Linked DNA regions of Caenorhabditis elegans. The protein of the gene in region 2 purifies or fractionates together with the protein of the main gene of each other region. This does not show direct contact. Each region holds a gene or a part of one and is shown on either strand. Other genes may lie near its edges.

Region 1 (6,148 bases), on a different chromosome or scaffold from region 2:
AAAAATAGTCTGAAATTCAGAAAAAAACATTTTTACACTTTCTTAAAGGTGGTGTAGTCGAAAAAGTCGAATTTTTTCTATATATTATTATTAGACTTAAAATTGTCTGAAAACGCCGAATTTCATGACGAAACTTCTTGAAAACTTCTCAAAAAAAAGTTATAACGGCTTAAAAAAAGACTTAAAATGAGTTAAAATTTGAAATTTGCCCGACTTGTCAAGCGGCTGGAAACTAAGTTTTTTGAAATTACCGTCTAATTTTGGGTATACAATGTTATTATCTTGCGTTTTCAACCTTATTTAGGTATTTTAAAGTCGATGGACGGCGAGATTTTTAAATTTTTTAAACCAAATCTCGCCGTCCATCGACTTTAAAAGACCTAAATCGAGTTGAAAACCCAAGATAATTAAATTGTATACTCAAAATTAGACGGCAATTTCAAAAAAGTTAGTTTGCATCCGCTTGACAAGTCGGTCAAATTTCAAATTTCCACTAACTTCAGGTCATTTTTTGAGCCGTCATAACTTTTATTGAGATTAACCTGAATAAAAGATAATTCAGGATCCATCGTTGTATTTCCAATATAACATCTATCACGTAAATTATATTTGGTTTTCAGCTCGGCTCGTCCTTCACCAATTAGTTTTCCGAAATAAACTTTCTTTGGAGCTTCATCACTGGGATTTTCGTATTCTTCCACTAGAAACAGCTCATTTTTGGGGGATTTCAGGCAAATTGGCGCTTTATTGAATGGGACCACGTCTAAGAAAGCCTGATTGAAAAAATAATTAATTTAAATTAGAATAAATTAATGATTTCTCACTTTAATCCGTTCAATACTGTCAAGTTTCTTTTTCCGCCCGATTGCAAAGAATCGAATCGCAAAGCTTTCCTCTAATTTATCGAATTTTTCTATTATTTCCGGCTTGTTATCAATTTGCTCATACATAATATCGTATGACTCTGCCTCGATCGATAATTCAATTGCATATTTGACTAGAATCGATCGTGAAAGCAGCTTCCGAACTTCTAGATGGCTTTCGAAATTGACGATGAACATGTGGTCCTGTAAGATAATTTAAGATAATTTTGTGTGGGGTTCTCGTAATAATTTTATATACCGTTGTGTTCAGCTTTTCCGATAAATCTACTTTTATTGAGAACATTGAGCAAATTGCTTCGAATTCTGCTATCCTGAAGTCTACATGACTTTGCGAGAAGATTACTAGCACCGGGAGCATTTTCTCTGCAAAAAATTGGAGATTTTTTCAGTCTCTTTCAACTAATGTAAATACGCTCTCTTGTGACTAAGCGCGCGCGTTTGAACCAGAGGACAATTTTTTTCCTCAGCGCTAGTAGCCCCTGAAAGAGTTATTCATACTTGAAAAAAGAAACTTTTCTATAGATTTCTGCATGAAAAATCAATCCTCAGCGCTTCTTCTCTTGCTTTTCCTGATTGTAATGAAATTTTAGAGTTTTTAAATTGTAAAAAAAAAACTAAACAAGTTCTTTTTGAAGGGAAAATTCGTTTTTAAATGCTTAAAATGCTTCAAAAAAAAAACAAATAAAAAAAATTGTTTCTGTGCATACACCGTCACGACAAAATGCAGACTTGCCATTGGTCTCGCCGCGAAAAAACATGTTTCTTTTGAAAGATTGTCTTAATTTTTTGATTTCAATCATGATTTCAATCAGAATTTTGCGATCTTTCAGCATTTTTATCTATTTTAAAGCTTTATAAATTAAAAATTAAATTTTTAAAAATCTTCCAGATTGTCATACGGGTCCCGGATGATTCATTCCAACGAGCCACTGCCCTACGCTATCGAATATGCAAAGTCTGGCCGGTCGAATTGTAAAACATGCAAAAAGAATATCGCGTTGGTGAGAGCTTTATAAAGCCTAAAAAGCCTAAAGCCTAAAATCAGCCTAAAAATTGAATTTTTCAGGATCAATTGAGAATGTCAATGAATCGCCCGTCAACATTCTTCGATGGAAACATGGATTCGTGGTTTCACTACAATTGCTTCTGGATAAAAATGATTCGCGGCCGAGATGACATCAATATAAGCTCAATCCGAGGAGTCGATTGGCTTCGCTGGGAAGATCAGGAAAAGCTTCGCCAGGAAATTCAACACTTTAAAACCGCATCGCCACCGACTCTGACACCCCTGTGCTCTACCACTACCGTCATTTTGTCCACAATAAAAACCGAAAAATCGTTGTCAAATCGTGGGAAATGTGGAAAATGCGGCCAAAATTTCGAGCGCGGCGAAATCAAGGCTCATAACAAGGGAAAAGCCAACCATTTCAAGTGTTTTCTGCAGGAATTTGATAAAATTTCCGGCACCGTTGAGGATATTCCTGGCTGGGCGGATTATGAGGAGAACTTTAAAATTAAGGCGGTTGGGGAGTATGTGGAGGCTTTAGCTGCGAAAAGGCGATCCACGGAGCCAGCTACCCCGGCTTCTGCCTCTCCAACACCACCAGAAGCTGAAACTCCAGTTTTATCTGCAGAAGGATCCCCGGAAAGCTCCAATAAACGTCCGGCAAGCTCTGAAATCATTGAAATCGACGGTGAAGGGAATCCAGATGAGAATGATTTTGCGAAGAAAAGACGAATGAAGAAGGAAGCAAGATTGATGGAGGTTCAGAAGAAGCGAATGAAGGTTTTTTTTTTTCAGTTTTAATGGAGGACTAACGGTTCGGACGATTTTGAACGTATAGACTCAAAATGAGCTCAAATAAACGAATTTCGTAATGAAACTGCTCAAAAAAATTTCAAAAATGTTTTATGGCGGTTCAAAATTTTGAGAAAATTACACTGATTTTGGCTAAAATCACGATTTTTTCCCATTTTTCCGTGTCACATCTGTCCGTAGTTGGCTTTTTTGGAATTATCGTCCTTTATTGCATACATTGGTAATTAATCTCATTTAATTTCGTCGATTAAGGTACATTTGAAGCCGATAGGTAACCAATTTCGATAATTTTTGGTTACCTATCGGCTTTAAATGTTATTTGATCGACGAAATTAAATGAGATTAATTACCAATATACGTAATAAAAAACGAAAATTCCAAAAAAGCAAACTACGGACAGATGTGACACGGAAAAATGGGAAAAATTCGTGATTTTAGCCAATATCAGTGTAATTTTATCAAAATTTTGAACCGCCATAAAATTTTTAAAAAAATTTTTTGAGCAGTTTCATTACGAAATTCGTTCATTTGAGCTCATTTTGGGTCTATACGTTCAAAATCGTCCGAACCGTTAGTCCTCCTTTAAAACGCTGAAAATTATTGGAAAAATTTACAGAAACAATCCGATCTTCTCTGGGAATACCGCCAGATCTTCGAAAGAATGCCGTACACCGACAAAATCTCTATATTACGAGAAAACGAGCAAGACATTCCAGAAGGACACGATCCGACTGCACAAGTACGGGTTTTTCAGTGAAAACTGGACAAAAACGTCGAGAAAATAGCCAATTTTCTGCATTTTTATACGAAAAAAATCGAATTTTTTTTCGGTTTTTTCCAGAAAAAAATCAGAATTTTCCCATTTGTTTTTCGATTTTTTAGCTTTTATAAGGGAAAATTGAAAAATCGAGGAAATTTAATCAAATTTTTGTTCGTTTTGATGGAAAAATATTGAAAACAAATTAATTTTTAATAAAAAAGAAGAAAATGGACAAAATTTGAAGCTATTTTTGGGGAAATCGATTTTTGTTTGTTGAAAAATCAGAAAAAAAAACCAAAAATTTTCGTTTTTGTTCCACAAGGGCGTCGTTTTTCCGATATTTCGAAAAAAAATTATCCATTTTTCCAAAAAATAGCCTAAAGTTTTGGTCATTTTTCTTGTTTTAAACAGAAAAAGGTCCCCATAATAATACAAACTTCCCGGCAAACGGGCAAATTGCCGAGAATGAAAAATTCCGGCAAACGGGCAAATTGCCGAGAATGAAAATTTCCAGAAAACCGGAAATTTGCCATAAGTGAAAATTTCCGGCAAACCGGCAAATTGGCGAATTGCCGTAATTGAAAAATTACAACAAACCGGCAAATTGGCGAATTGCCGTAATTGAAAAATTACAACAAACCGGCAAATTGGCGGCACTGAAAATTTCCGGCAAATTAGCGAATTGCCGGAAAATGGCAATTGTCAAAAAAAAAATTTCAAAAAGGCACAGTTTTCAGCGTTTCCGTCTTTAAAAAAAATCCCTTAAAACTTCCGGCGAACCGGCAAGACGCCAATTTGCCGGAATTGAAAATTTCAGCCAATTTTCCGATTTTGTCGACAAAAAAATTTGCCGAATTGCAATTGCCGCCCACCCCACATAAAAAACATGAATAATTTGTATAGAATAAGAAAAATGACCAAAATTTCAAGATATTTTTGGAAAAATCGATATTTTTTTTCGAAATATCGGAAAAACGACAGAAAAACAGAAATTTTTTGGTTTTTTTCCGATTTTTCAAAAAAAAAATTTTTTTTCGTATTTTCGCATTTTCAAACTTCAATTCTTTTTGCAGGTAATCGAACGCCTAGTGGATAATGCCCTATTCGGATGCCCAATCATTTGCCAAACATGTTCAAATGGAAAAATTGTCTATAATTCATCATGCCGCACATATGTCTGCACTGGATATGCTACAGAATACTCGAAATGTACTTATGAATCAAAGAATCCAATTCGAACTCCATTCGAAGTTTCTCACCGATTAACTGAAAAGCATAAGCTTCAAGATATTGTATTCAATCAAATGAGTGAACGACTTTATATAGGAGAAGAGGATGGAGAATCTGTAGTGAAAATTGATAAAAGAAAGTCGAAAGGTGGTACTCGTGGTGAACAATTCATTTATGCGGCTGAAGCATTCGATTCGACTAACAATGTTCCGATAAAAGTCGGCGATCTCACATCAACCAATACTCATATTATTAAAAAAGGAACAGTTGTTGATGCGAAATTCGCACTGGCCGATCGTTGTCATGTATTCAAAAATGAGATTGATGGAAGTCTCTATCAGGCGACACTCTCGTTTACTGATCTTACACAGAATAAGAATTCGTATTATAAGATTCAACTGTTGAAGGATGATCAGAGAGAGTGAGTTTTTGGCAGAAAATCCTCCGAAAAAGTCGGAAATTCAAGAATAGCAGAAGAAAAAAAAAGCGAAAATTTGAATTCCCCACCCAAAATGAGAACTGCTCAACCAATCAGCGATTGGTTCAATATTGGGTGGAGCACATCACTGATTGGTCGTGTAGTTCTCATTTTGGCGCGAGCAAAATTCTTTTTTTTTTAAATTAAAGCTGGTGTAGTCGAATTTTTTTATTGCTTTATAAGAATCAAAATTGTCTGAAAACATCGAATTTCATAATGAAACTTCTTGAAAACTTTTCAAAAAAAAGTTATGACGGCTCAAAAAATGGCCTAAAATTAGTTGAAATTTGAAATTTGGCCGACTTGTCATGCGGCTGGAAACTAACTTTTTTGAAATCACCGTTAAATTTCGAGTATACAATGTAATTATCTTGAGTTTTCAACTCGATTTAGGTATTTTAAAGGAGATGAACGGCGAGATTTTTAAATTTTTTTAAATCAAATCTTGCCGTCCATCGACTTTAAAATAACTAAATGAAGTTGAGTACGCAAGATTTTCTTAAATTACATTGTATACTCGAAATTTGACGGTGATTTCAAAAAAATTAGTCTCTAGCCGCTTGACAAGTCGGTCAAATTTCAAAGTTTAACTAATTTTAGGCCATTTTTTGAGCCGTCATAACTGTTTTTTTTTTTGAGAAGTTTTCAAGAAGTTTCATTATTAAATTCGGTGTTTTCAGACAATTTTGAGTATAGTAAAGCAATAAAAAAATGAGACGCCACCTTTAAGGATTAGCAGAAGAAAAAAAAACGAAAAAAATCGAATTCCCCCCAAAATGAGAACTGCGCGACCAATCAGCGATTTGCTCCGCCCATATTCGATCTGATTGGTGCAAAAAGTGGGCGGAGAACATCGCTGATTGGTCGTGTAGTTTTCTTTTTGGCGCGAGCAAAATTCATATTAGAAATGCGAAATTTTTTGGATTACTGTAGCCCCAAAAATATTACAGTAATCCAAAAACTAGGAAAAATTGCAT
Region 2 (7,736 bases):
ATTGAAAAATTCACAGTCCGCTAGAAATTATTAACACTTACCATTTGCTTTCTCCTCTCGTCATTATTCTTTTCATTTTGCTGTTCTTCCTCGGAAAGACGGTCTCTCATATCGTTGACAATATACTCGAGCTCTTGGTTGCGAGTCTGAAGCCGACCACGGATATCGTCCAGTTCAGCACTGTTCTCCGATTCTTGTTGAAGTTGCTCTTGAATCACAGCTCGCTCGACAATGACCTGAACAAAAAATCGTGAGAAAATTGTGACGTTTTGATCAAACACTCAATGCTCACCTGGTCTAGCTTCTTCTCGTTTTCACGGAAGTCGTGCTCCATCTTGAGAAGCCGTTCTTTTGTTGCACGCAACTCATCATCTTTAGCACGAATCTCGTCATCGGTTCTTGTAACTTGAAGAAGAGGTTTCACTTTGGTGAATAGTCTCCACCATTGCCAATTGCGAAGCTTCAAATAAGCAAGTCCATTACGCTGAATGATACGAATAGCACTGGATTGCTGTTGTCTTCTGGTGTAAAGCCGTCTAGAAAGGAATCCTCTGCATTGTGCTTGGAAGTTCATAATTAAAGCGGTGAGCTTGAGATCTCTTTCCTCTTCAAGATGGGCAAGAACTCCTGTTCTGAAAAACACTTTGGATTGTCCAATTCTGTAGAGATTTGTGTCAATGTCCAGAGCAGTGATCATCTTGCGAACAGATTCCTTTCCATCGATAAAGTTTTTAGGAATGACATCTGGTGTAAGGATTTCGTATCGATGACGGAACTCTTGGAATGGAACTCTATTCGGGAAACCTTGTCTGCAAATTCTGATTCCTTCGAGCACACCGTTGCATCTCAGCTGCTCAAGTACAAGGTTGGAGTTGATTTTTCCGGACTTCTTCTCGTGATTTGGAATGATACAACGAACAAAGTGTGGAGATGTATTCCGAAGAGTAGTCATAAGCTTTGTAAGTTGCTCTTTGTGCAATTGCGAGACAGTTCGGAACATTCCCTTGCGAGACCTCATTCCAAATGCAGTCTCATTCATTTCCGCCGCACAGATGCCAGCAAACTCGGCGTCCTTCCAAATTCCAGCAACAAACGGATCAGTGGAGTTCTGCATTAGTCCAACAACATTTTCATTCAATGGATCCATGTTTTTCATGAGCCATTGATCAGCAGAGTAGTCGACGCGGCCAGCGTAGTGAACAACGGCAAAGTGGCTCTTAGATCGCATATCAGGAACAATGAACTTCGGATGCTTGTTGTGTGTTTTCTGAAGCTTCTCAACAAATGACTTGTCGTTCGCTTTAGGGAAAAGGCATTCTTCATCAAGAAGGGCCAGAACTCCCATTGGTTTCTCAATAAGATCAATTGTCGGCTGCAAATCGAGTCCGAAATCAATGAAATCCCATTCAATTCCTGAAAATATTATTGTAAATCTTTGCAAGTTACATTTTCCGAAAAAAAACAAACCTTCTCTCTGATACTCTTCTTGTTCTAAAATGAACATGGTATTGTTGAACAACTGTTGAAGTTTCTCGTTTGTATAGTTAATGCAAATTTGTTCAAATGAATTGATATCAAAAATTTCAAAACCAGCAATATCGAGAATTCCAATGAATGATGCTCCTTGGCGGTGAGTTCTATCAAGAGACTTGTTGATTCTGGTCACAAGCCATTTGAACAGCCTTTCATAACTGGCCTTTGCAATGGCCTCGACGGCAAACTCGGCTTGTTCCTGGTTTTGTGCCTTGTTCACAAACTCTCTTCCAACTTTGATGCGTGGACGGAGGAACGCCTTCTGCAGCTCGATTACTGGGAGACCAAGAAGATGGCACACCTTCTGAATCACTCTGTCATCCTGAAGCATTGCCTGATCACTCTTCTTCTCCTGAGTGAATTCCAGGTTTCCGAGAAGAAGGACGGCAGAAACAACACGCATAATTGCTGAAAAAACATGGTTTTTTGATTTTCAGGTTCAATATGGTTTACGTACATGAAATTTCATCGTCGGCAAATCCCATAATGCGCATGGAGTTGATTGTGCTGTGAAACTCTTGAACATCGTCTACGTTTGGAAGAGTTATTCCACGATTTACCAAAAATCTGTAGTTGTCGACTCCTTCCAAAAGGTACTCACCTGAAATTATTAGTTAAATGTGGAATTTTATATAATTTTTTGATACATGAAAAAAACTCAGTTTTTGTCACTCTTTTGGGCTTTCAAATGTTATGATCAATTAATGTTTAAAATGTTGATATTTAAACACTGTAGGGATTCAAAAATGCGGTAGTGCTATAGTTTTTTGAAAAAGTAGCACAAACTCAATAACAGCACTTTTTTGACCGTCAATTAAATTTTTTCAACATTGATTTTGAAAAGTTTTGTTATGATATTTGGTTACACTTATAAGTGGTTTATAACCATTTTTCCACTTGGGTTACTCCTGTTTCAATTTTTAAAAGGCCTAACGGTTTTACTTAAAAATTTTCAACGTCATTTTTGTCAAATGATGAATCACGCATGATTCACCAGGCTAATAAAAACAAATGCGTTCGGTTTGTTATAAATCCAATTCTTATGTTGGATTTTATGACTCAACCTACTTTTTTCTTTGGCGCTGCATCCTCTGAGTATCTGATAGAAAATGTGGAAACTTCTTTCGTCTTGAGCTTGACGAAGCACTCTCGATTTTTCCAGCAGATAAAATTCAATGTTCGCACCACTAATGTAGCCGCTCATGTCGAAATTGATACGGATAAATTTACCCTGAAAAAAAAAACCAAATATGCACGGGGGGCAAGATTAAAAATATCACACATACGAATCTGGAAGAGTTGTCATTTTTCACTGTCTTCGAGTTACCAAAAGCTTCAAGGATTGGATTGGCTTGAAGTAGTTGATGTTCCAATTCTCCCTGAAAACTTCGATATTAAACGTGTAAAACTATTTTGCAGTGGTGGCTAAATGAATTAACATGACTTTGATCAGGTTGTGAGCACAATAAAACAACATTTTTTGATTCGAGGATGAAGCTCTTTGGGAATAATTTGTTTGGAGAAAGCCGTTTGGATTTTAAAAGCATTTTTTATAATAATCTGTTTGCAGCAAATGGGGAAGAACTGCATCTTTTTTGTTGATTTCCTTAAAGGAGGAGAAACGGTTTGAAAATTTTTGAACTTATAAACTTTAAAATGTTCTCGAATTTTTAAAAATGTTTTTTCCACAGCTTAAAAATTTCGAAAAAATGGATAACATTCGCCAAAATACTCAATTTTGGCTTATTACGACTTTTTTTAGTTGAGCACATTTTGGGTATATACCTTCAAAATACACAAAAACCGTTACTGCTTCTTCAAATCAATTAGAACAATTAACATAATTAGATATGATTAGACAAGTTTTTTTCTGTTGGATTTTGTTGACATATTAGAACAAGGTGATGTACTGAACAAGAAAAATCAATAAATAAATTGTTACGGAACAATATTTTTTGTTACTGAAATAGTCACAGAAAAGTGTATCACGACAATGTCACGACAACAATTCACAACAAAATAGCAAGATAACAAGATCAAACTTACGATCGGATTGCGGACATCTGGCTAAATATATCAATTATAATAATTATTATTCTTCATCATATACCTTTTAAAGTAGATGTAACAAATATTTATAGTAACTAACCTTTTGAACAATATTTTGCTGTGCAGCAGCATTTAGCGACTTGTTTCGAGTGGCTCCAGCAACGTGAGCCAAATATTGAATAACTTTTTTCGTGTTTTCAGTTTTTCCTGCTCCAGACTCTCCGGTACACAGGATCGATTGATCTTCGCGTTCTGAAAAGAATATGATTTTTGCAAACGCTTTGTTTGGAAAGTATGTATATTGCTCACCTTGAAGCATACTTCTGTACGCAGTATCAGCAATTGCAAATATGTGTGGTGGCATTTCGTGTCTCTTTTTTCCTTTGAACTCTTCAATCAAATCTTCCGAGTAAATTGGAAGCTTTTTGTAAGGATTGATAACAACACAGAAGAGACCAGAGTAAGTCTAAAATAGTTATTTTGAAATTAAAATGTTTTTTTTTCTCAACTCACATAAATTAAACTAGAATAATATCTGTCTTTCAAGTTGTGAAGTACCGACGCTTCGTTTAAATACGTCAACTCTGACATATCTTCGATCTTGTCAAACTTTGGTGGATTCGCTTTCTGAACGTCATCTCTGCTGATTGTGACCTGGCGACTCGTGTCCACAAGCTCGACGAGCACTTCATCGTTTGTTTCTCGTCTGAAATTACTACCGATTACGGAATGAGTTGAGAGCACGCAAACTCACTTGATGGATCCAATGAGAAATCCTTCGTTCTGATCTGGTACCCAGCACAGTTTCCGCTGTGCCCACGCGGCAAGTGTGGCAGGATCGGCAACGGCCGCCCTCTGTACCTGCAGGTACTGCAGGTCACCCATTTGTTAACTTCGTAATATCTGAAAATTGTTTTCAATTTTAATTGAAATTGAGATCCGTTTTGCTATAAGATGTAAAGAGCGGAAAATGAGCCGAAACTGAAAAAAGAAGAGAAACGAAAGTGGGCGGAGAAGCGATGGGAAAGCGGATGGGCGCAAAAAATAAAACAATAAGAAGAGGTGAGTCACGTGTACGATTGAAGCAAATCAAATTTAATAAACATTTGTTCTCCAAACAATCATGTACAGTTTTGGTCGTTTTAAGACCAAATGCAAGAGGCCAAAATGTGCAAATATCATAATGAAAGACTCCAAAAATTTTTGGATTTTTTCAACTTTCTAGTGAAAGCTGTGGTGAATTGCCACATTTTTGAAAATATTAGTGTTAAGGAAATTATGTTTAAAAAAAATTAATTTAAAAAAATTAAAGTATAAAACTTGCAAAAATTTTTTTGCTCGGCTTCCAAAATCATAAGTTACAAAAACTGGGGCATGTTTTGACAGGAAATAAAAAAATGTTTTTAAATGTTCTACAATGATATTTGGTAATTCTTGTACCACGATAATAGTTTCAAACACTAAATTTTGAAAACAAAGATTTTGTTTTCAAGACTTTCTTAAGACAAATGGAAATTCAAAATCGCTTCCAACGCTTGTGATAGAAAATATTATTCTAAAAAATTCTAGACAAATGCTTTCATGCAGGCGGAGCTTGGAAAGGCGGAGAATCTGGGAGGAAACGCGGGAAAACGCCAACAAAAACAATGTGTTCCTGGGAATGAATCATCTGTACGATTTTTTTTGAACGATTCGTTTTTATAAACATTTTTGATGTCCGTTCCACGCCAGAAACATGGGATTGGAATTTTTTTTTGGTTGGGTCTTGAACGGAAATGAAGATGAAGCGAACAATGCAAAAGTGTTTCAAGTTGGCATTAAAGGTAGTGTAGCGCTAGTGGGGAAAAACAATTTTTGAAACATGCATATGACACTACAAATTTCATAATAAAAATATTTTCAAAAAATTTAAAAAAATTTAAAATGGTATTTTTAAAATTGAAAAAAATCTTAGTTTTTGCCACTTTGTGAAAGTCGTAGATCAAGAAAATTTCCTAGTTAATTTTATGGTCTATTTATGATAAAAATATTTGTATTAAAACACTTATAGTGCTCTAATTTTTTTTCAAAAAGTGGCAAAATCTCGGTAAATGCCACTATTTCACTGTCAATAAAAAAATTTCAAAAATTTCAAATTTGTTGTGAAAAGTTTTATTTTGATATTTGGTCATTTTGTCGCCATAAAAATGGTTCCTAACAACTTACCAATTGGGAACCTTCAGATTTGAAAAATTATATGGGGAAGTTGGATTAAAACAAATAAATCTAAAAATGGACTCAAATATAAATAATGTGGGACAAAACGCTATCGAGGTCAAGGAATGTAACCGATTTGGATTTCAAAACGTTGATGGAAAACAGAAAGACGACAAATTACTGGATTATAAATAAAAGTGCTGAAGGAAGCGAACGATGAACAAAGAGAGAAGGCGGTTTGGTGAGAGGATGGAAAGTACGGACAAGGTGTCCAGTTGTTCTCCAACAAGAAACGAAGAATCGCCTCTCCTCCTAAGCGGCTGTTATGTGGTACTAGACGTGTGTGTGTGATCGAGGACGGATACAGTGAGGGTGTCGAGTTAAATCTCTCAAAACGTCTCAGGCAGTGTGGAAGGGAAGGCGTCGTACGGTGAAAGTGAACAGCGGCGAACAAGGCGAACACGAAGAAGGACCTTTCGTTCGCATCGCCGCCAGGTAGTCAGAATAACTCAGCGGGGACGAGGTTGCCGCACGACCATCAGGCTGGATTCAGGAGGGAAGGGGGGGGGGGGGGGGGAGTGTGTGAAGGATTGGTTCGAAGAATTGATGTCCTTGATTCGCGCGCCAACCCAACCTTCTTGTCGTTCATCCTTCTTCCTCGCTCTCTTTCTTTCTCTAAGCACATCCAACTTTTTCACCTTTTCTCATACACACACACACACACAGACACACGCACAGTCGCACACACACATACATAGATATATACACATACAGACATACAACATGAAGAAACTATTTGTCACCTATCCAACTCTTGCGTATAGATGACCCGTATGATGCGTGTACTTTTCGGATATGGATATGCAGAACAGAACGCCGGTGTTCACGGAGATTGTGATCACCGCCCCAAGGGGTGGATGGTTTGACACCGAAATTTTAAGGACATCTTTTGTAATCAGATATATGAATAAAGTGTCAACGAGGCAAAAATATGCGGCAATGACTCAAGCCTAACTAGGGAAGATATACATTTTTCTATTCGACATCCTGTGTTTCCTTCAAAAAATTTAGTTGCTCCAGAGAAGGTTCAGGCGAGTTGTAGTTGTGCAAAAAATTTCTTAGATGTTTACAAAAAATGTTATTCTGAAAATTGATAAATTACTTGTACTTTGTAAGATATATAACTCTCTAAAACACCCTCGAATAAAGCTACATATCTTGAGCAAGTTTTCTAAAAGTGGGGTTTCATGGAGCGCAGTTTAACATATATATTTTTCGAGAAATATGAGCTGAAGTTGTATGCTTTTTCACCTTTTTGAACAACTCATCAGTATTGTTTTCAATTTTCAAAAAAAAATTTTGAAATGTAAAACTTTTTGAAATAAAAAAAGTCAAAACTCGGCTGAACCTGCTCTAAAGCAGCTAAAATTATATTATTGGGAAGATCATTAAGATATATGCAAAGTATGCAAATCACAGACAGTGGGCAATTTTGAAGATTCAAATTGCATGTTTTTTGCAAAAAAATCAGGACTATCAAAACTTATTGTTAGGTTTCGAGTTGAAAATCAAGATTTCAAAAAAAAAATAGACGACAAAGAAAAAGCAGTGTAAAAAAACAGATTTCATATGAATCATTGTATTTTAAAAAAAGGTGATGCCGTTACACTATCAGTAGTGCTAATCAATGTTCCCGCCCTGCTTATCGGACGGAAATATTGGCATATTTTATGAGTCATGAGTGGAAGTTGAAAACTGACAACTGACACCCCTCTGTATTGGACGAGCTGGGGGAGGAAAAAAGGACAGAGGTAGACGGAAAAAAGTCGCTCAATTGAACGACAATACTCGGAAACAGACTAAGAGAATTGGTGGAGCGGCTGGCTTGCGGAGCGGCTTCTTCTCTCCATGATGTTGTTTACCATAACGATTTATGTTATAATTCTCTTTTCAAGCCC

Evidence for each region.
Region 1: the proteins of nmy-1 (region 2) and parp-1 fractionate together in Caenorhabditis elegans (co-fractionation; one large-scale study listed by BioGRID). This does not show direct contact.

What each region holds. Positions count from the first base shown.
Region 1 is NC_003279.8:2,920,339-2,926,486, reverse strand, and holds the start of parp-1 (Poly [ADP-ribose] polymerase 1), read left to right. Parts: upstream 1-1,773; 5' UTR 1,774-1,792; coding exon 1,793-1,885; intron 1,886-1,950; coding exon 1,951-2,670; intron 2,671-3,319; coding exon 3,320-3,442; intron 3,443-4,536; coding exon 4,537-5,114; intron 5,115-5,196; exon of another isoform or gene 5,197-5,301; intron 5,302-6,148. Other genes in the region: Y71F9AL.1 (tRNA (guanine(10)-N(2))-methyltransferase TRMT11), read right to left, coding at 543-773, 825-1,067, 1,123-1,242. UniProt on the Caenorhabditis elegans protein: Poly[ADP-ribose] polymerase modifies various nuclear proteins by poly(ADP-ribosyl)ation, a post-translational modification synthesized after DNA damage that appears as an obligatory step in a detection/signaling pathway leading to the reparation of DNA strand breaks and programmed cell death.
Region 2 is NC_003284.9:2,906,287-2,914,022, reverse strand, and holds the start of nmy-1 (Myosin-11), read right to left. Parts: upstream 4,497-7,736; 5' UTR 4,468-4,496; coding exon 4,337-4,467; intron 4,289-4,336; coding exon 4,096-4,288; intron 4,049-4,095; coding exon 3,892-4,048; intron 3,835-3,891; coding exon 3,683-3,834; intron 3,601-3,682; coding exon 3,580-3,600; intron 2,913-3,579; coding exon 2,820-2,912; intron 2,765-2,819; coding exon 2,602-2,764; intron 2,135-2,601; coding exon 1,991-2,134; intron 1,942-1,990; coding exon 1,468-1,941; intron 1,414-1,467; coding exon 293-1,413; intron 237-292; coding exon 42-236; intron 1-41.